Schizosaccharomyces pombe: one gene and its partner. Changing the gene in region 1 together with any one later gene gives a genetic interaction. Each region holds a gene or a part of one and is shown on either strand. Other genes may lie near its edges. The genes, in order: SPOM_SPAC1399.02 and dbl8.

The links.
Region 2: mutations in SPOM_SPAC1399.02 (region 1) and dbl8 together harm fitness more than expected from each alone (negative genetic interaction), as found in Schizosaccharomyces pombe (one large-scale study listed by BioGRID).

Annotation. Positions count from the first base shown.
Region 1 is NC_003424.3:1,843,253-1,852,401, reverse strand, and holds SPOM_SPAC1399.02 (transporter), read left to right. Parts: upstream 1-4,256; 5' UTR 4,257-4,511; coding exon 4,512-6,281; 3' UTR 6,282-6,754; downstream 6,755-9,149. Other genes in the region: SPOM_SPAC1399.06 (uncharacterized protein), read left to right, coding at 2,044-2,418; fur4 (plasma membrane uracil transmembrane transporter), read left to right, coding at 8,721-9,149.
Region 2 is NC_003423.3:2,555,392-2,567,477, forward strand, and holds dbl8 (ATP-dependent RNA helicase Dbl8), read right to left. Parts: upstream 7,779-12,086; 5' UTR 7,737-7,778; coding exon 1,902-7,736; 3' UTR 1,759-1,901; downstream 1-1,758. Other genes in the region: 1,3-beta-glucanosyltransferase Gas2, read left to right, coding at 1-35; tri1 (CAF1 family ribonuclease), read right to left, coding at 273-1,556; guanyl-nucleotide exchange factor Muk1, read right to left, coding at 8,535-9,357, 9,406-9,791; oxidative stress transcription coactivator/ribosome recycling protein Oxs1, read left to right, coding at 11,043-11,576, 11,685-11,774.

The DNA of each region.
Region 1 (9,149 bases):
GAGGAATCGAACAATAAGCCAATTAAATAAAGAGAAAGGAAAAGAGCAAATTAAAAATTAAAAAACTTTATTTCCTTTAGTAGAAGAAGAGTAGACAAGGTGAAACGAAGCGATATGGCAAAGAGGGTATGCTATCGACAGCGCTTAATGAAAAGGCAGAGTTGAGAGAATAAAAGAATACAGAGTAAGTAAAAAAAAAGTGAAGAAATAAAAGGTTTGCTTCAAAACTTTTTCTTTCAGAGATATACAAAGAGTTTTTTTTTTGGTGTAAGGCAAAAAAAACGACAAGGTGCTCTTTTAGTGTTTTCTTTTTTCGACGCAATCAATTTAGATTATGTCAAGGATACGCTACTATAGTAACTTTGGGTTGTTTTAAGAATGAGTGAATTGTTAAGGGGGGAACAACCTAGTCAATTTATAGGGAGGATAATAAATGAATGACTTGAGATAAACAAGTTGGAATGAATGACAAGTACAAAAATGACTTCAGTGATTAAGAAGAAGGATGGAACTAGTCAAATCTCTAACCTTGCAACAAGGAGTGATGGATGTAAATAAATAAAAATGAGCTGATTAGATAGAGCGCGATAGCAAAGGATAACAACTACAAGTAGTCAGAAAATGCTAGACACACACACAAAGAGTCAATAGAGAGAGAGACAATTTAATGAAGCGCAAAATTTCGTGAAGTATATGGTACAACGCAAAAATCCTACTGTAAAAGCGAGACAAAGCACTGCGAGGAGTGATGGGATTGATACAAAGTAATTTGGATGGTGCGACAAAAAAAAAATAGGCGTTGTTTTTACCTACCAAACAATTCAGATGAAAGCAATCGAAACACTAACTTGATAGAGGAAGAAGTGTAATTAAACAAGTGAAGAGTGTAATTAAACAAGTGAAGAGTGTAATTAAACAAGTGAAAATTGTAATTAAACAAGGGTATTATACCTAAAGGATACAATACTCTTTACTGGACTCGACTTGACTTGGATTTACTTTTTTGTTTTTGTTTTCGCTTTTGCTGTTGCCTTTGCTTTGCTTTGCTTGTGAAGCGCAATTCGTTGGAATGAAATCGTGTCAATAAGCCTTATTAAATACAAATTCAACACTCTCAAGAACTACTTTCTTTTCCAGAATAGCGGCGATTACATTTTGGCAAGTCCGCTATACAAGGAAATTTTAATACATACTTAGTAACTAATCTTAGGAAAAGCAGGGGTGAACAAATGCGATTTGCCCATTCCAACATCTCACATCACTCACCACCCATAGGAGCATTGATTATCAATGAGCAAACGCCGATTTTGTTTTGTCTTTGTATTCGCAGCCGAATCCACCACTCAGCATTCATCGCCTTGTACCTCAAACCAATCCGATTCGTTTGGCGCTTTCGTCCAACACAAAACTATCTAATCATCGTTGACGCAGCTTACAGGCATTGGGCGATGCGTAAAAGAAGAAACGACAAGTCAGGGAGGTTGTCGGGGTAGATATAGCACGGATTGGACAGGCTAGATAGAGTGGATGAACAAAGTACTTTTAGCTTAGTCAATCGCTTTAGGACGAGAGCGATAATAGAGGGCCGAGAGCGTTGATAGAAATAAAGAGGCGGAGGGAGAAATAAAGAGGCGGAAAGAGAGTGTGTGAGTAAGGATTTTTGCGACGAAAAAGATGGTAGAGGAGGGTAAAGAGAGAGGGAGATTGGGGAAAGGCAAAGGCGATGCAAGAAAACGATTATGAAAATGAGATTGAAATTGAAGTGGGAGTTGCAGTTGCAGAAGTTGAAGTTGGAAACGATGTAGATGGATAGTCTTTGTGTCTATTTGTGTATTTATCTGTCTGTGTTTCTGTCAGCCTGCTTACTATACTTGCTATGCGACAAGCTACACTTACACATATAGTTACATCTACAATATCAACATTCTACCCATTGTATCCCATTGTATCCAGCAATACCTATGTTACTATTACTGCTCTTACTCTCATTACTTTCCTACTTTCTTCTCTCTTTATACTTTTCCTTTTGTTTCAAATCGAACGATGTTTCTGCTTTCCCTGCTCCATTTTTTCCATCCTTCTCTCATACCGTCTCTCTCTCTCTCTCACACACACTCTTCCTCCCTTCCACCATACCGCCTACACTGCACTGCGCTATCTTATCGAGACTTGCTGACAAAAAAGTCCGCGAACTTTCGTTCCCCTATCTATCGCTCACACGTAAACGAAAAAGGCACCCTCACCCACTCTTTCCGACCAACGAAGGATATGCAAAGTGGGAATTGCTGGTTTACCATACTTAGAAAAGCTAGAAACCTCCTCAATCACGGAATCTTACTCTCATCAAACAACCGATCCTTTTGTTTCATAATTCAAATATCAAAAATCAATCCATTCGAGCGCTTCCTTGAAATGTAAACAAATCGCTCTACCATGCGTGGTTTTTGGTTGGATAAATTAATCAATGTTTGTGCAGCGCATCACACTATATCCCTTTAACGTTTACATGCGTTCTTTCTCCTTATATACGCTCTAGTGTGCCCTTCCCACCTACGTTGTTTATCTACGCTACTTGTCAGTAATGGTCAACTTTGACTAGTGCTTGTAGTGCTTTAAAACGTAATATCTATTAAAGACCGATGCAATCCCATTCACTCCAGTTATCAATGTCACTCGTCTTTCACAGCGTGGTGTTTAAAGTTCTTTATATGCAAAAGAACCGCAAAATGAGTAAAAATTATTATATCCATCTTTTTTAATCCTCCCTCCCCCCGGTCGCATTATTATTGAGTTACCTACTGCCTCTCTAAACCTCTCCAGCTTGCTTTGTAAAACTAAATACCCAAAACACTTGCTTAGTTTTCACTTTCTTCTAGCCCACCTTCCTAGATTCACCTTGCTTATTCAGCTGCACTTTTCCTCTGCACATTCGACAAATTCCAAACCTTCGAAAATTCGGGCCTTTCCTCACTCAATCCCCTTTCGTCCAAGTGTGCAGGTGGCTACTTCCGCTATACCCACCTCCCTTCTTCCTTCCTTCCTTACCGTGTGAGTGATGAAATCTTTCCAAATAATATGATGCTACAGTCTTACAACCCCCAAAAAAAAAAAAAAAAGGTTTGTGAGTAGAATTCACTTTTTTTTTTAAAAACATCACTTCTCTTTCTTCTAATCAGGGAATTCTGCATTTCTGCATCTTGCTCGGTATCTTAGGATAGTGTATAATAAAGCATCGCTAAAGTGGGAAATAGTAGGTAAAGGCCATTAACAATTCCGACATGCTGTTTCAGCCAGTCAGACTAAAAAGTCAAATGTACAATAAACATTGCAATTCTTTGAAAAAAAGAGTTGTATTACAGGCCTGTACATACGCACACTTTTCAATCCATAAAAAAAATCGTTGCTGTAGATTTTGTAAGACGTACAACTAAAGACATATAGAAGCGTTATTGTAATATTGTTACAAAATCCTTAAAAGGAGCACTTTATCGACCCTCAAAAGCACCTTGTTGATCCACAAACATTCTTTTGACTCATTAAAACTTTTCTTAATCATTTCATTGCTTACTTACTCATTTCAATGTTTGCTTAACCATTCCATTGATATGCAATATTTTGTCAACCCTCTCTCTCTTCATTCACTTACTTGTTTACTCCGATCCCCTATTTTCCCTTTATAATATCATACATGTTTACGATTATTTCTACATTCCTCACATTTTAAAAGATTACAAATTTATAATACTATACATTGCTGTCATTACATCTATATCAATATTAATCAACTATCCCGATATCCTCTTATCTTGGTAAATTTGCTCATTTCTTCACGGCATTATCGTTTTTGCTCACTCAAAAAGGAATACTCTTCATTCATTTTCTCGTCGTTTTTAAATGCCTGCTTTTTTCGACTTCCCTTCATTTTCTTATGCATAGACACTCTGTAGACTTTTCTCGACGAACCTCCTTATTTCAGTGTCCCTATTTTCCGGATATTAGCGCGGCTTTTTTTTTTTTGCTCTCCCTTTGCTCCATCGTTAGAAAAATCCTGTATAAATATTGCCTCTAAAGATCGTATTCAAATTTTCTACATGAAAATGCTTACTCGGTAATTACTTGGCCTAATGTGCATATTTTCTTATTTTTAAACTAAGAATATGTGCACTTAAAGCCGCGTCAATTTTCCTTCCTTATAATTTCCTATCTATGTGTTTTCTCAAAACGTACTCATTCCAGGCAAGTAGAAAAAAAACTCTACCATAACCAAAACTAGGCATCCTGGAAGTAGTGTTTTTATTCTGTGATTTAGTTAAAATTTCCCCCCTTTCTGATTGTAACAGACTTACTCAATTGTTTCATTAAAATTGCATTCGTTGTCTTGATTATTTATATTCTTTCCTTCAATATTATTTTTTTTCCTAGCAATATCTCTTTTTCTCCTAGCTGCATTCACCCTCTTCCTTACGGATTTTTTTCCCTAGTGTATTTGTGTTATAAAGTTACTAAACATAATGAATCCTTCTACTTCTCCAAATCGTAATTTGGCCTCCCCAAAGAGTTTACAACTCTATACCACAGGCAGTGAAGTAGCTTGGTATCCAACTGCGCTTGATGAAGCAAACGAAATAAAGTCTATAAACTCGAAAGCCTTTTCTTTCAAGAATCAAGATCAAATTTATGGTGCCGGTTCTCTAAAGTCTCGGTTTTCAACCCATGAAATCTCGTCTGAAAAAAATGATTCTCCTGATTTCACCCTTGTGTTGCCCTCCAATCGATTGTACATCGTTATTCCAGGACTTATGTTGTCGATTTTCTTGGCTGCCTTGGATCAAACCGTCATTACTACGGCTATTCCCACTATTGTAGCAAATCTCGACGGCGGTTCATCGTATTCGTGGATTGGTACTGCTTATTCATTGGCAGAAACATCTATCCTTCCATTTTGTGGTATTATGAGTGAAGTAGTCGGTAGGAAAATTGTCCTCTATACTTCCATTGTTCTTTTCCTCTTCGGTAGTGCCATGTGTGGTGCTGCCCAAAATATGCTTTGGCTTGTACTATGCCGTGCTGTGCAGGGCATCGGCGGTGGGGGTATTATGTCTTTAGTTACAATCGTTATAGCTGACATTACTCCTTTACAGACCAGACCTTATTACACAGGTTGTATGGGAGTCACTTGGGGGGTTGCTTCTGTTATGGGTCCTTTAATTGGAGGTGCAATTTCACAGAATACTACATGGCGCTGGATTTTCTTCATTAATCTACCTACTGGTGGTCTTTCGCTTGCACTCTTGATTTTTTTCCTCAATCTTGTACCCAAGCCTACAGTTTCGTTTTGCGTGTTTTTACGTGATTTTGACTTTGTGGGCATTGTAACCATTACGACTGGTGTTGTGTTATTTTTACTTGGCTTGAACATCGGATCTACAACAGGACATTGGGCCCATGCCAATGTCTTGTGCTATTTAATTTTTGGTATCCTTTGCATTGCCGGTTTTGTCGTCAATGAACTTTATACCACCCGCACTAGAATTATTGCTCCCTCGGCGTTTCAAACACTCTCTTTATCTTCTGTGATGGTAACCTCCTTCTTACATTATTATATCATGTCAACTGTGACTTATTACATTCCAATCTACTTTCAAAGCATCAAGGGTGATGGTCCGTTAATGTCTGGTGTTCATACTTTATCTCTGGCAGTTGTATCTTCAGTTGTTTCTGCCATTAGTGGTATGGGAATAGGAAAATTGAAAAATTATCGATATCCAATGATTGGAGGATGGATAGTTTTATTAGCTGGTACCGGTAGTATGATCGCAATATACTATGACACACCTATACCACGTACCATGGGATTCTTGGCTTTGACAGCTGTTGGAATTGGCAACCTGTTCCAACCCAATCTTATTGCTATTCAGGCTTCTGTACCTCCTGCTTTGATGGCGACTTCTTGTTCCGCATTTATGCTGCTAAGGAATATGGGTGCATCTGTGGGAATATCGATAGGAGCGGTAATTTATGATCAGCAACTTACGACACTTCTAAAAGGAACGGAATATTCTACAGGGCTTTCATACTCTCAAATTGCTTCAATTCCCAGCGTAAGCGAGAGAAACTTTGTATTCAATGTCTATGCTAATGCCATTCGTACAATCTGGATTGTAAATTGTCCAGTTGCAGGAGTAGGAATGCTTCTGTCGTTTTTTACAAAGCAAGAGAAATTATCTCAAAGCGTCACGGAGTACAAAGAAAAGGATAAGGGATTTAAAGATGCTCCTTGAAACTTATTTTTTAAAAAGCTTTTGTTGAAGAATCCCAAAACAACTGTTTATTAAATTTATTTTTCTTTACATTGCAGAATAAGGTCATTGTCTATTTACTTGATTTTTTTTATCTACGTTTGACTGGTAAAAACATTGTGTTTTCTATTACTAGTGTTTAATGTTTGTTTCGGTTTTTTTTTTTTTAACCAAGGATCGAACTTGATTGTTATAATTTTTTTCTGATATTGTTGTATGCTAATGATTTTTTCTTCGATAAGTTTACAAAAATAATTAATCTGCTTTTTGTTTTTACACTACATTTCTTCATTTCGCATTAGAGGCAGGGAGCTAAAGTGTATTGCATGTTAAAACAAAATCTTTCGCCATAAGGAGTTAAAAGTGTTAAAAATTCATGATTACTGCCATGATCTGTCGCAAACAATGTTTACTAGTTTTTCTCCCTCTCTCTTTCTTTTTTATTTTGGTTTACGGTGTAGGGATTACTCTTTACTTAATTTTAATATTTTTTAATAAAATCATTTATCTCTTCCTAGCTCAATTGCTTTGCTTGCAAAAGGTGCTATAGTTGCATCTTTTCTAAACTGCGCAACTAAGGATTTCTTATGTTTACTGATTGATCAGTTGTTCACTTGTTTTCATACTGCGCAGACCGTAGCAGCATTCCCGAACAAGGTAACGATGGATAAAAAAATCATCGCACTTTCTGAGACTATACCTTTTTGGTGGAACAAGCCGTTTGAAGCGCGGCATTCTAATATCATTTCTTTTTAGAAAAATTTAAAACCAAAACACTACTTGAGAATCTTCGTCGAAAACTCTTTTTACTTACGTGAAAAACTAACTGATAAGATTAAGCGATGTGTTCAACTGCTGGCCTTATTTTTATCTTGACAACTTTAAACTCAAAAAAATAGATGCGACAACAAAACCACGAAATCAACAGAAAACTACAAAAAGGCTTGCCGCGGTGAGCTTCCTATCAAAAAAAATGAATGAAAACAAGTATAGTTAATAGCTTGTTATATTGAAAGACGAAATGGACGACCCGTTATCGACCTATTCCAAGCAAACTAGTTTAACTATAAAACCTAAGCAAAGTTCATCAATTATCAAAATCAATTTTTGATACGACTAATTAGTTTCTTGTAGGAGTCGACATTACTTTCGACACCATTGTTTGCATCTATCCGTTTCTTTTGGATCCGGAAATTAATTGATCACTAGCTTTTACCAAAGTCCACACTGTCTTTTTCTTGAGTTTTTCTACATTTCATTTTTTTCTATTTTGTTTGGCATTACACGTTTGTTTTATCGTCGATATTCATCTTTTCCATTCGTTTGTTAACTTCAATTCGCACTGTTTTCCTCCTTCATTTCTTTGATTGTTCGTTCAAAAAGCATTACCCTGCATTCCATTCATACTTTTTTTTGACTCATATTGATTATACGAGTTTACTCTATCATCCTATATTTTGGCTTTTGAGTTAACATACCGTTTTGCACATAGATCAGCCTACGCCCGATTTCTCGTACTTGCAGACTTAGCGAAAATATCTTATTTCGTTGCTTTATCTATACCTCAAGTAAAGCTTTTGAGAATCAGGTCAGCTGCACAGCCAAGTTTTTATCAATTATCTCTATTGTGCATCCGTTCATATACTTATCATTAATTTATATTAAGGACGGCGGCGTAATCTAATCTTCGTCATTTGATAATACCCATATTCCTTACAATCTACGAATTCAGCCTCTTGGTTGGCTTTCTATCACATTAAGTTAGTTAGCGTTTTGGATTTAAACTTACACGCGAAAGATATCTCTATCTCCTCTGATTGCGCTGCGAAATAAAAAATTTTCTCTACATATAAACAAAGGTTTCTTCCTAAGAAAATACATATTTGCAAACTTTATAGGCTTAACATTGAGGGAATTGAAAGGCGACATAAAATAAAACATTTAACGATCTGTTTTGTAATAGCACACAGCTTTTCACTCATCTTTTTTCCAAAGATCGCTTGCTCGCCACTTTTATTGTGGAGAAATTTCTGTTACCTCTGGTCATTGTTACCTCTTAGATTGCTCTGAAAATATTTCAACATTCCACTTTTTCTTCTACTCAAGCCACAGTGCAAGGCCTTTGTCAAACCTTTGTAGGATTTTTTAATACTACATAACTGCTATTATTTGTAAAGGTGAAATATTTTACGGCACTTGTTGGTTTCCTCCATTTTTTTTGTCGGCTCTTTTTTTTTGTTTACGAACGTTTTTTCCTTCATTAACGAATTCACTCAGCTCGTTTAATATTTCAATCTGTTATTTAAAGTCACTTAATTAATTTCGCTCATCTTTTCTTTCCCTACAAAAGTCTTGAAAAAAGTTTTCTCATTTTTGTCGTTTGTTTTTTCTTATCGTCTGAAACATTAATCTTGTTAAATCATGGAGTCTGTGGATAATAATTCTTTTTTTTCACGAATTAGAAATAGCAATGCCTATAGAAAGGTCAAGGATTTTGTTATATTGGATCATAGGCCTGGTATGACTATGGCCGAGAGAATGTTGACTAACAAGGATCTATATCCTGTTCCTCCTTCCAAGCGCCTTTGGGGGCCTTGGAACTTCATTTCTTTTTGGTTAGCTGATGCTGTCAACATCAACACTTGGATGATTTCTGCCACCGCTATCGAGCTTGGCTTGAACTGGTGGGAGGCATGGATTTGCGTTTGGGTTGGCTATCTTATTTGCGGTATTTTAGTTGCAACTACTGGTCGCCCTGGTGCAGTATATCACATTTCATTCCCTGTTCTTTCTCGTTCTTCCTTTGGTACATGGGGTTCATTATGGCCTATTCTTAATCGTAGTGTCCTG
Region 2 (12,086 bases), on another chromosome or scaffold:
GTAGCTGGGGTGGTGTTGGTGAGCTTAAGGCATAATTTCCTCATTAATCCTTATTCAATTTTTTCATTTCTCAAATAATTTTAAACCTCAAAATTGAGCCTCATTGAAACTTATCTAACATTTTTCCAATAACATCCTTTGACAATTTTATTAGTCACATACCATTCTTGCATATAATCCATGAGTTTGTAATCAGCCACCTGTACTATTGTAATCTCCATAGGGTTTATATAACCTTTGAATATTTTAGAAGATTATTCGCTTCAATTCAATCAACTGCAATATTTATTTAGGTCAAGAAAACTACCGTGAATTGGAAGAACATTTTGCCATCGCTGTATATCCGAGTGTTTTGTTCTCATAACGTAGTAAACAAATAGTAGAGCAGTGTCGTATGAATCTTTTCCTGCTTCATGTGGGCGTTTTCTGCTCATCATTGACTTATATGGACATTCAATCAGCGAATTTAAAGAAACATTTGACCTTTGAGATGAGGAGTTAGAAGGTACTGGCGGTAGAGATATCTTTGAAACTAAGGAAAGTAAGTCCGTTGGTATCCCATCTGATACATGTTGAAGATCATCGGATTTCAAGTAGAGAAGTTTAGTGTCATATATAGATTTGAAAGATGATAAACAAAGCTCAGAAAACTCTAATATCGTTTCCGGGACTTTTCCTTCAAAAAGGGAAAACAAATACACCAAATCTGCCATGCCATTGTGACAAACTACTGACTTTTTTTTCTTAAGTATATAGTCCCATAAATGTCGCAACCCAACATTCTGTTTGATCAAATTTAGATTGTTAAGTATTAATTGGTCGCTCGCAATATCTTCTTTGAGTTCGCTTTTTGAAGTGGCAGAGCATTGAGTTGTCGAATTTTCAATAGCCTTCCGAACCTGCAGAAATGTTCTTTTGGGGTAACTCTTTAAAGTTGGAAATTCAATTTTAACCAGGGATTGTATTGCTTTTCTTATAAAACGATTAGAGGTAGTAATGTTCAAGTATTTTGAAGTGGAATGTGACAACTCGCTCGATAACCAATTCTTAATTTGATTTCTTGCGTCAACAAGAATTTCTTCATCGCAAGCATCTAAAATTGAGCTGGTCAAGTCGTCAGTTGATCTTTCATTAACCTTGTCGATCAAATTTCTTTCTTCAATCCGTGATAAGTATGGTACACCCTCTGTCAGTTGTTTATTAAAATCAAAACCTTGTTGTATCAGAAACTTAATACTGCTAGCCTCCGAGCAGAAGTCTCTCTTAAGGTGCAATTCATCTTTAACTAGAGGACTTACGTTAATATTTACGGGAATACACGAAGATTTTCCATTGTTTTGCAAATAAATAAAGGTTATACCAATTTGTAAAATTGTGTATCGTATACTACTTTTTCTCAGTAACTCATATCTGTCTTGTAAAGTATTTTTGTTGTTAAGGTTGAAGTCTCTTAATAATCCGGAAAATTCACAATCAATGGAAACATAGTGTGCTGAATCTACGTGTTTCTCCAATTCTTTTAATGTCTCTAAAAAGTTTTTGCCATGTATCTCCATCTATAGATTCAATGTATTTTGTAGAACTCAATTGAACATGCACTGATAATATGCTAATTTATAGCATATTTTGGAAGCTAATTAATAATGAAATTGTGAGTATGAGCTAATACAAGTTTGATATAATCCTAACACAAACATATAGAATATACTGGTGCATTTGTCCTGTTTATATATACCATTGAGTAAAAATTAATATAGTGTTGTTGTAAGCAAAATCATTTTTAGATAGGAGAAATATTAATAAATAAACTATGTCTAAGATTCAAATGATTGAAAACGTCCCGCTACTCGTGTTATTAAAAAAGTAATACTGTAAAATACTCATACTAAAACCTAAATCGGCTACTTCCTTTTGAAATGCTCAACTTTTGGAGGTGCAAAACCGTGGGCCATCGCCGCCAGAGCAAGTTTCGATTTGGGCTTTTTTGATTTTTTCATATGGCCTTTATCTTTATTTTTTTCCACATAACCCGGCTTTTTGGAAGACGCTTGTTCAATTTCAGATTCGTCTATTTTGTTTAACACATCTTGCTTGGAACTGGATGATTCATCAAGGCGTGGTTTCGTGACCTTATTATCAGCAGCAGTCTGATCAGTGGAAACTTTGTTCTTAGCGCGCTTATTCGGTATATCTTCATCTCTCTCAGTTCCTCTTGACAAATTAGCACTATCTATATTGTGCCGTTTTTTGACTTTATGTGCTTCTTGTTTTTCCTCACAGATACCAACCGACGGCGACTTAATTGGGGTATCCCGTGAGGCTAAATTTAAATTGTTAGATGCGAGGTGTGTCGAAACGTTTGATATACTTTTTGAGTTCTTAAATTGATTAGCACTCAAGTCTCTCCAAACACCACGAGTTTTTGCGTCTTCAATCAAGCTATAAAAAATATCCTCTTGCATTAGCGGTTTAGAATTGCCTACGATATACAAAGATGATTTAGCTCTTGTTAAAGCTACATTAAGCCGACGAAGATCTTGAAGGAAACCGATTCCACCGCTCATCGAACTCCTAACGCAAGAAAAAATTATAATGTCCTTTTCCTGTCCCTGAAACCCATCGACGGTATGAATATCAAGATGCTTGAATATAATGGAACCATACTTTCTTTGAAATTGTGATCGAAGCTGTTGTACTTGACTTCTATAAGGGGTAACAACTCCAATTTTCCCCTCAAAATCAATGTTTAGATAACATTGAATTAGCCTCTCATATAATAATAAAATAAACGAAGCCTCTTCCACATTGTACAGAGACTTTGAGTTGGAAAAAGCTTCCGTCCCGTGAACATTAAAAAATCGATAAATACCTAGCTGCGGATCCTCGTGCCAAGGTCGAGATGTCACTGCTGACATATTGGGACCGTCAAGTAGTTTTGAATTATAGAAAAACTTGCTGGGAAATCGGCTAATTTCAGGATTCATTCTATACTGTATGCTAAGAAGACAAGCGCTCTCATTATGCTGTTTGAACATTCTGACATATAGAGATTGTGAATATCCAAACTTTGCAGAGGTTTTTGATAGCACAGTAGGAGGAAGCTGATTCGGATCACCAACCATTACACAGCTCTCACAGCCATACTTAAGAGGTATGATTGAACTTAATTCAACGGCTTGTGCAGCTTCATCAATTATGACAGTTCGAAAAGTCAAACCCGCATTTAAAAGTAGTTCATGACCACTCGCAGATAAGGTAGCACATACAATATCAGCTTCCTGAAGTAGTTGATTTTGTATTTGTTTTTTCAAAACATCCAGATTACGATTAGTTGAGCGTTGACGTTCTCTCATATCATCAAGGCTCTGTTCAAGCATGTTTTTCTGTTTGGTAATCTCACGAAGCTGTGCTTCCAATATTGAACTATTTTTTCCAGTACTACGAAACTTTTCTAGATCTTCGCGTAAAGAGTCCCTTTTTTTAATAATTGAGTCATATTTTTTCCGAGTATCACTGGAATTGTTTGCTTCTTGATCTTTCTTTAGGTTCGTAAGTTCCATTTGCTTTATCATTTGCTCTTCCAAAGTAAATTCTTTAGCGTGAACGCTTATGGAGTCACCAAATCCAACACGAATAACTTTTGGAAAAAATTTGATACCCTCATGATCGTAAACACCGGCTTTGATACGAAGGAGAATTTCATCTATGGCTGCATTACTAGGAGCGCATATTAAAATCTTATTCTTTGAGGTTTTTCGCGTCTGTCCTGGGACATTAAATTGCAACCCTTGACTAGAAGAAGTAAGTACAGCTCCAATCATGCCTAGAATGGTTTTAGTTTTTCCAGTTCCAGGAGGCCCTTGAATGAGCGTAAAACCATCATTTACAGAAGATGCATAAATCGCATATGCCTGGGGTTCATTTACACCATAAGACTTCATTATTTTTTGCTTTTTGTCATCTGTAAAATTTGAAGGTAGACGCGTTACATTGGCATCCAGAATTCTCTGAGACAATGGTAAATGGCGAAGAGATTTTAAAGCAGCAAATTCACGTAAGCTAGTAGTAGCATTAAATAATTTTTGTGCTGTGAACCTAATGTTCGGTGCATACTCCTGTAGATCAATTGATTCAATATTCATCCGCAGACAGAGTTCAAGTGATTCTTTTTTACGAGAAATGGATTGAATTTTGCACAACTGAAAAGATTTTGGGTTATTAGTATCGCCCGAACTTTGTGATTTTGACAGTAAGCAAATATCTGTATCACTTAAAAAAGAGACTTCGGTAGGTGAACAGGACGTAAAGTAAATATCGACAAAGTTATCAACTGTACTGCGGGTGTTGAGGATTAAATCTATGGGAGGGTATTGCTTTTCTTCAACGGCACTTTTCACTTGAGCCCAACATTCATGAAACAACATTGGTTTGAAAACTTTCTCATAAGCGTTTGAATCATTATACGTGAATTTAGCTTGGACGCACTGCATCTCAACATTAGACGCCGAAAAAGAATCAGCTAATGGGTTCCAACCCAAAATTACTTTGTAAAACTCTTGAACATCAGGGTTTAGCCGGAGTCGAGCAAGTTGTGCACTTTGTTGAGTATTACGGCGCAATTGAGTAGGATGAACTACATTTTTTGTTTTAAGGGAATCAAAGTCCAAGAACTGAATCTGCCTTCTTTGTGGAAGAGATTTAGAGGCATGAGAATTAGCTTCACGTGCAAGCGAGAATAGACCGTTACTAGACTCTTCTTCGGACTCCGAGGTATCTTCATCGGAAGTTGAAGTATTTTTGTCATCTGGATTAGAATAACTTTTAGAAGTGTGCAAAAGTGAAGGCTTGCGAATTGGGTCAGCAGAATCGAGCTTTTGCAAAGCTTTTGGTATATGATTATCCGAATTAAGTTTCTCAGAAAGATGGTTCCCCGCACTGGTTCTTGGAACTTTCGCGGATTCGCGAATTCGCTGTGTTGTCTCTTGTTTAGATTTCAAAAAATTTAAATTTTGAGATTTTTGAGCATTTCTATTGATGGCTTTAGAAGCAGAAATAGCCTTCGGAGGAAGCAAAAAATGATTTGAAGTACTAATGTTTGACTCAGGTAATTTTTTCGCAATCCCAATAGTCTGGTCTTTAGAAAGCAAACCCCGATCATCACTCTGTAACTTAGTTTCAAGCGTATTGGTATCATTGAAAGGAGAGTGATTAAGAACGTCTTCTGAAAGGTATGGTGTGAGCGATATAAAAAGATCCTCTCTCTCAGTGAATGTAAGAATTGTTTGTTCATCACTGGTAATTGATGCCCTATGGATAATATCAATCACATTTTGACTAATTGGACACTCCAACTTTTTACAAATTTTAAGCATTTTACAAATCACTTTCACAACGGATGTTAGAAGTGAAGAATCAGTTAACTTAAGCCAATAAGATACAGTAACCAAAGAATCAGCTATACACATAGCTAAAGCACTGCCCTTATCATTAGCCGAAACAATTTTAATATCGTTATCCGATAATCCAAAAATGAATCCGTTAACTTCCTCAAAAATATTAATGAGCATATCGCAAAAATCAAGGGTATCCCGCATTAAATCAACTAAATTGTCCTTATCATGAACTGGCCAAGTAGGAAGAACAATGAAAAAATGAGTAAAGAATTTCCATAACGATTCCCAGAAATTCTTAAGGGATTCTTTCTTTTCCACTTGTTTTGCAAAAGTCGCATCCTTAGAAGTTAAGCCATCAACAGAGTCAAAAATAGTGTTTATAATTAATTTATTAAAATAAACAATGTGCTTGGCTCCTCCAAAGTTTCTGACTTTAAGCCACTGCAGAAGAACATAACATGAAGAATTTAGTGTATTTGAAAACTGGCTTCTCAATAGCTCTCCTATAGTATCAACAACGCTGTCAGAAAGCGAAATAGATTTAATAATTGAGATACTTCCTGTTGAGATCTCAAGAATTGGAGAAAAAACGAGTGAAAAGATTCCACGAAAAGTTAAAGGATTTGAAACCAATTGGGTTTGTGCCGACAAATGCCAACATTGAGTCTGAATAAGCATTTCAGAAAATGTTGCAACAAATCCGTTTAGTGCATTTTCGAAATCACTTTTGAACGGAATGTCAACTTTCTTAGGCGGCAACTTATCAATCAAGCAAACTGTAGAGCAAGCACGAAAAACAATACGAACCATAAAGAACTTCTCCTCTCGAAATACGTTTTGCAAATATACCCAAAAATTTTTAAAAGACTCACTTACCGATTTGATATTCAAGGGTGGCTTTCTATTTCTGTCCAAATAATGGCAATAGAATTGCTTCAAAATATAAAGATCTAAATTCAATCGGTATTCAAAAACTTTCTTAATAAGCCTCCATTCAACAGACTCTTCATTTTCCAAGTTTAGCAAACGAAACAGCTCGTCAAACTTAATCGCTAAAGTGGAATGTAATTCAAATACTTTGTTTTGTAAACTTTGATCACTATGGGGGAAAATCATAAAATATTCGGAAAACAAAACTGAAAATATGTCAGCAAGTGATTGAAGTAACTGAACATTTTTGAAACCGACTTCCAGTTCCTTTTTATATTGCATGGTGTAATTAATCAAAATTTTGTTAATTAATTCAACTTCATCAATGATTGAAATTGTCTTCAAAAGAGAGGTAGCCCATTCAAACGGATTCTCTGCCTTTTGGTCGTTTGAAAAATTGGATGTATTTTCTTCTGTCCACCTCTTATAAGCATTACCATTAAAAATTTTATCTATTACTTCACTGGGAGAAATTTCTGGCGTCCAAAAATTACGTCCATAGCAGTATAACAAAGAATGTAAACATACAAGGAAAGACGGACATAAATTAGTATGGTCGCTTTGCAATCCCGAAAGAATAAAATCGGCGACATTGAAATTTTTTCCTGTAAGTCCCCTAAAATAAAGATGATCAACATGCTTTAACAGCAACGATAAACCTTTCAGAAAAATTTGCATCTCGTTCTCATTTTCTTTCTTCTGGTCTAAAGAACGAATTTCCTGAAGAAGGGGACCCTCAAGGATTTTAAATTCATTATCGGAGATTGTTTTTACATCACTTAAAATACTGCAAGCCCATCTTCGGAGCTCATCATCTCTCGAGAAGAGAAGACTTATGACACCTGGCACTAGGTTTTTCGAGAGCCGAAGAAAACCGGACTCAAGAAATCTGTTTCGGAACAAGGGAAAGATTTCTTTATTATGTAAAATACGAGGAGAGTATAAGATTTCGTAGAAGGCGCATAGTATAGGTTTAGAGGCCGAGGACGTGTCGATTTTAGGCACTGTTTTGAGAACTTCCTGTAACCGAAAAATGTCCCAACTATAAATTTTCTCCATTACAATCTCAAGAGTATTTGGGTCAAAGTGAAAAATGTTTAAACATAGACTTTTGAAATCATCTAAAGATTGGTGATATTTAACTATACATTTGGGGCATAACTGAAGGCGTTCGTTCAAATGTTTTTTGAACCATACCAGATACTCGTTATCATTTTGAAAAGAAAATAGAAAAAGACATTCACGAACTGCTACTTGTAATTTAGGATCACAAACCCAATGAGGGTTTTGTCTGTTAGTATTTAGGTATGAAAGCGCCAAATGCAAAACTTTATTGGACCCTTCGAAAGATGGGTGTTTTTGATTTTCCTGAATTTTTCTTATTAATCTATCAAAAGCCTCGTCATTTTCCATAACCACAAGCTAATGCTGCATTCTCACTCTCGAAGTAGACTTATTAAAGCGCGACTGCAATTTTTCAAAATCTAGGTTTCTAAGGAAGTAAATTACACTATTCACTATAAACATTTAGTGCAACCAATCATTTGATGTCCACACAGCACTCGATTATCGCATTGAAATAAAATAGCCTTAAGAGAAATTTTAAATAAAAAAATGAACGTATATTTTGAAAGTGTATATAAATTCATGTACCAAAATCACGCTTCTTTATTGTAATTAAGATATATATGATTATCCGAAATATATTTTAAACATTACTATATATAATGTGACAACTTAAAAAACTTTCTTACCCATTATAATCCGAAGTTTGTGATTGTGTGTTTAATTCCTAGTTTCAAATATGACTATTTTCTTCACTGAGCAAAGAATCACAGTTCATTTTATTCAGTATATTTAAAAATTTTGCAGTAACATGATATATTCGTTTCATATATTTCCTTTGTAAGGATTTAATTCGCATGCAATCTTTGCGTCAACATACAAGCTTAAATCATTTTTGCTAGTTCTTTGTGATATTCATACATTAATAAAATAGACGTCAAGGAATAATCAATCCTTGTTTTGAATAAAAATTTTCTTTTAAACTTTTAAGCTGTTCACGAATTGACCTGCAACAAAGAAAAAAAAAATATTGATCAATCATATAACTTTTCTATATGACTTTGTCTCTCAAATGAATCAAATAACCATAAACAAAGCCGAAAACCAACTGGATGTGAAATTTTTAAAGAAAATATTCAGTCAAAATTACTGATTACCATTTTTCTCAAAAAGCAAACGTGCGAGGCGCTTATAGTCAGAAAGAAGAAGTTCAATTTCACCGATTTTAAGATCGCTAGCATCAGAAACAGTCAAAAAGCGTTCCAAAGGTGGGTCGCCCACGAATTCTACAGAATTGGAAGAATCTTCTGAACTTTTGGCAGTGTGATTGGCTACTTTACTAAGTAGAGAGGCATAAGATTTCTCAAGTGCTAGTCCCAGATTTCTTAAATTAGATAAAGATGAGCGATTCACAGGGTAGGGTTCTGCACTCGGATCATGAAGCGAGTTAGAGGTCGAAACTGTTTCGCTATTAGCTACCTCAAGTGAAAGAGGATCATCAGAGGGTTGAATTGACGATTGAGTTAAAAGATTTGGACAAGCTCGAAGAATAAAAGTAAGGGCTGCCTCAAAAGTTGTGAGACAGTATCTTTGCTCTCCGCTTAAAAAATCTGCATTTCGAAAGCGTAACACAAAATTCAGGTGCGATATTAAATGAAATCCGGGATAACAGAGAATGCAATATATGGTCAAATTTAATAAAGAATCAGCATTCAATTCTTCTTGAGGAAGTTGAGAGGCATTCAATATACTTGAATTAACGGTCATAAAAGTGTTTATTTTCGATCTAGGTGTGTGTTGCTCATCGAGAGCAAAAAATGCTTCAGAGACTTCATGTAACCGGTTTGTAAGTTTTTCATCATCAGGTATTGGAATGCAATTGATAAGTTCTTTCTTTTCTTCAGAAGCAATAAATTTTTTTAACAAGTCATCTTTGGCAGCATCCGTACTTGTAGATAAACAGAAAATCCTAACACAATATTAGTAAACAGTTATTGTAGGCGAAGTAATCACATACCGATCATACAAATATTCGCAAACTATATCTTCAATTTGGTCCATCCATTCATCTTTTTGGTTCAGCAAGTGTTGTCTCGCCTTTTTCTGAGCATCTATTTCCTCAGGAAACAAAAGAGGCACATTTTGATCTTTTGAAGAGGGTTGAGGGATAAGGGTTGAAGCAATAAACTCATCGGTATGCTTGTAAAAGTTTTGAAATGCTTTTGCTAGTTCTTCAGGCGAAAGCAATTGAGGGTGAACCGGACTAACTAGAGAAGAGATAAACTGTATCACACATGCTTGTACAGTAGTTGGAAGATTTGATGCAGAATTTGGGAGTTTGATGTCTTCTTCCTTAGGCTTATTTGTATATTTAACAGCTCTCCAAGAATTCAGAAAGCTCATCGAAAGGAACTTTTACGAAAGGTGATCAAAAAGTTTAATTTTCAAAAATAAAATTAAACGAAAAAAAATTCTATATATACATGTAACTAAGAATATGTTAGCATAGGGTCTAATTCAAATTTTCAAATTTATATCAGATAGGATAAACAGCAATCGAAGGAACCGAGTACGAAGTATTCGTTGAGAGTCAAAAATATAACAATATATCCCTAATAGAAAATATACATCGTTTTAAAGCTATAAATGCTAGCAATTCCTTCTTTACCTTTGTCGTATGACAAGTTTTCAAGTAATTGTCAAAATATAGAGACACGAATTAAAAAAATAAGAACGTTGATTAAGAACTTGATATAAAATGAAATAATAATCAGAGGTAATGCTTACTTGACTTTAACTTATAAACCCTTCAAAATAGAGGAACAGTGCTGGTAGAACCAAAATTGATATGCATTCATGTTTCGGCATAATAATAGCGTATACTCGTTAAGAAACCGTATACTGTAAATGTAAATAATAGGATGAGTAAATTTAAGTGCTAAAAAAAATAATTTAGAATTATAGATTCATTAATTCCTTTAACAATTAAGATGATCGGAATGTTAGTTTGTACGTTATTTGTATCGAAGATGAAGTTTAATACTTATATAGATTACAATAAACTAATCAATACTTGAAAGCAATTGTTCACTGTACGATATTGTTGAATAATTTGGCAAGAATAAGCATTTAATTTGATGATATATTTTACTTTTTCAAACTTCATGAAATACACATCGAAGTCCATAACAATTGTCATGATATAATATTGTAATTGAAGAGTATGATCAATTTACATCGGTTGACTTTGTTTCTCTTTTTAATGAGTTATCACTGTTAAGAATGCCATCATGTCATAAAAAGGATTTATGGTGTATTATGCAGTGTCTATACCATTCAATATACCCTTAGCCTGCATCAAGGCATTTAAGGAAATAAATAGTAGCAGATTTCCAATTAAGAACTTTTATTTTCTATTTTAGTGATAAAAATTCAGTTACATACCAACGTTTGACGCCGTTTGTTCAGTGTTATCAATACACCTTTGTAAATACACTGATAAAAATAGGGAGATATAACGAGACATTCACTTATAAAAATTATCAGATCAGATTATTAATCCATCCTTCGTCGCCTTTCTTATAACGAGGCGGCATATAGAAATCACCTGTTGTTCAAGTCATTCAAATCTCACATACCATTAATAGCCTTGATATGGGGAATCCAAAAAAGAGAGCAGAAAAGGCCGAAGCGGCAAAATCTAGAAAACAAGACGAGGAAAAGAAAAAAAAAGACGCTGAAGAAGACGAAAAATGGTCCAAGGGCGTCAAAACTAATAAAAAGGAGCAAGAAGCTGAAAAACGAAAAGCTGCGTTGGAGAGGAAAGCTGAACGTGAACGTTTAGAAAAAGAAGAAATGGAGAGTCTTCCATCTAAAGGAGGAAAGGGGTCAAAGAAGGCTGCAAAGAAGAATTCATCTTTAGACGCTTTCCTCAACGAAACCCCTCAGACAGCTTCATATAGTGCCCGCAATATTGATGATGCTTTGGATTTGTTAAGTTTAAACAATTCATCGTCCAAAGATAAAATTGATCGTCATCCTGAACGTCGGTTTAAAGCAGCTTTGACAGAATACAAACAATCTCGTTTGCCTGAACTACGCAAAGAACAACCGGGCCTCCGTTTAAACCAATATGAAGACATAATGTATAAAGAATTTCAGAAACATCCGGACAATCCTTTCAATAAGGTAAGAAGCGATAAGGGTACATGCATACTCTTTTTGATGATGACCATATCATGTATAAACCCTAAACAGGAAAACCATTGTAAATATCATTTTTACTAACAATTTCAGATGAATGTGAGCTATAACACTAGTCAAGATGAGGTTGAACAGCTTCGTAAAGCTCGTAAAGCAGAATTGGAAGCACGTTTACGCGAGTAACTATAGTTATGGCAATATGTTTAGAACTTTTCTTTTTCCTTTTTACTATGGTAATTCTTTTATATTATTTATAAATTATCAATAAACCAATTACTAAATAATTTTTCTCGACATTCAAAAATGAAATCTTAAATTAAACATGAGAAGTACAAAGTGATTTGGTGATACACCGGTAAATCAAAATTTACAGCTAACTTTGAATTTCTATTAGCACAAGAATGAGTGGAGCGTATACTAATTGTAGGGCACAAGTTCTATTCTAACCGCTTAATTTTTTTTTTTGTAGTAATTTTGTACTTGTTGCTTTCATTT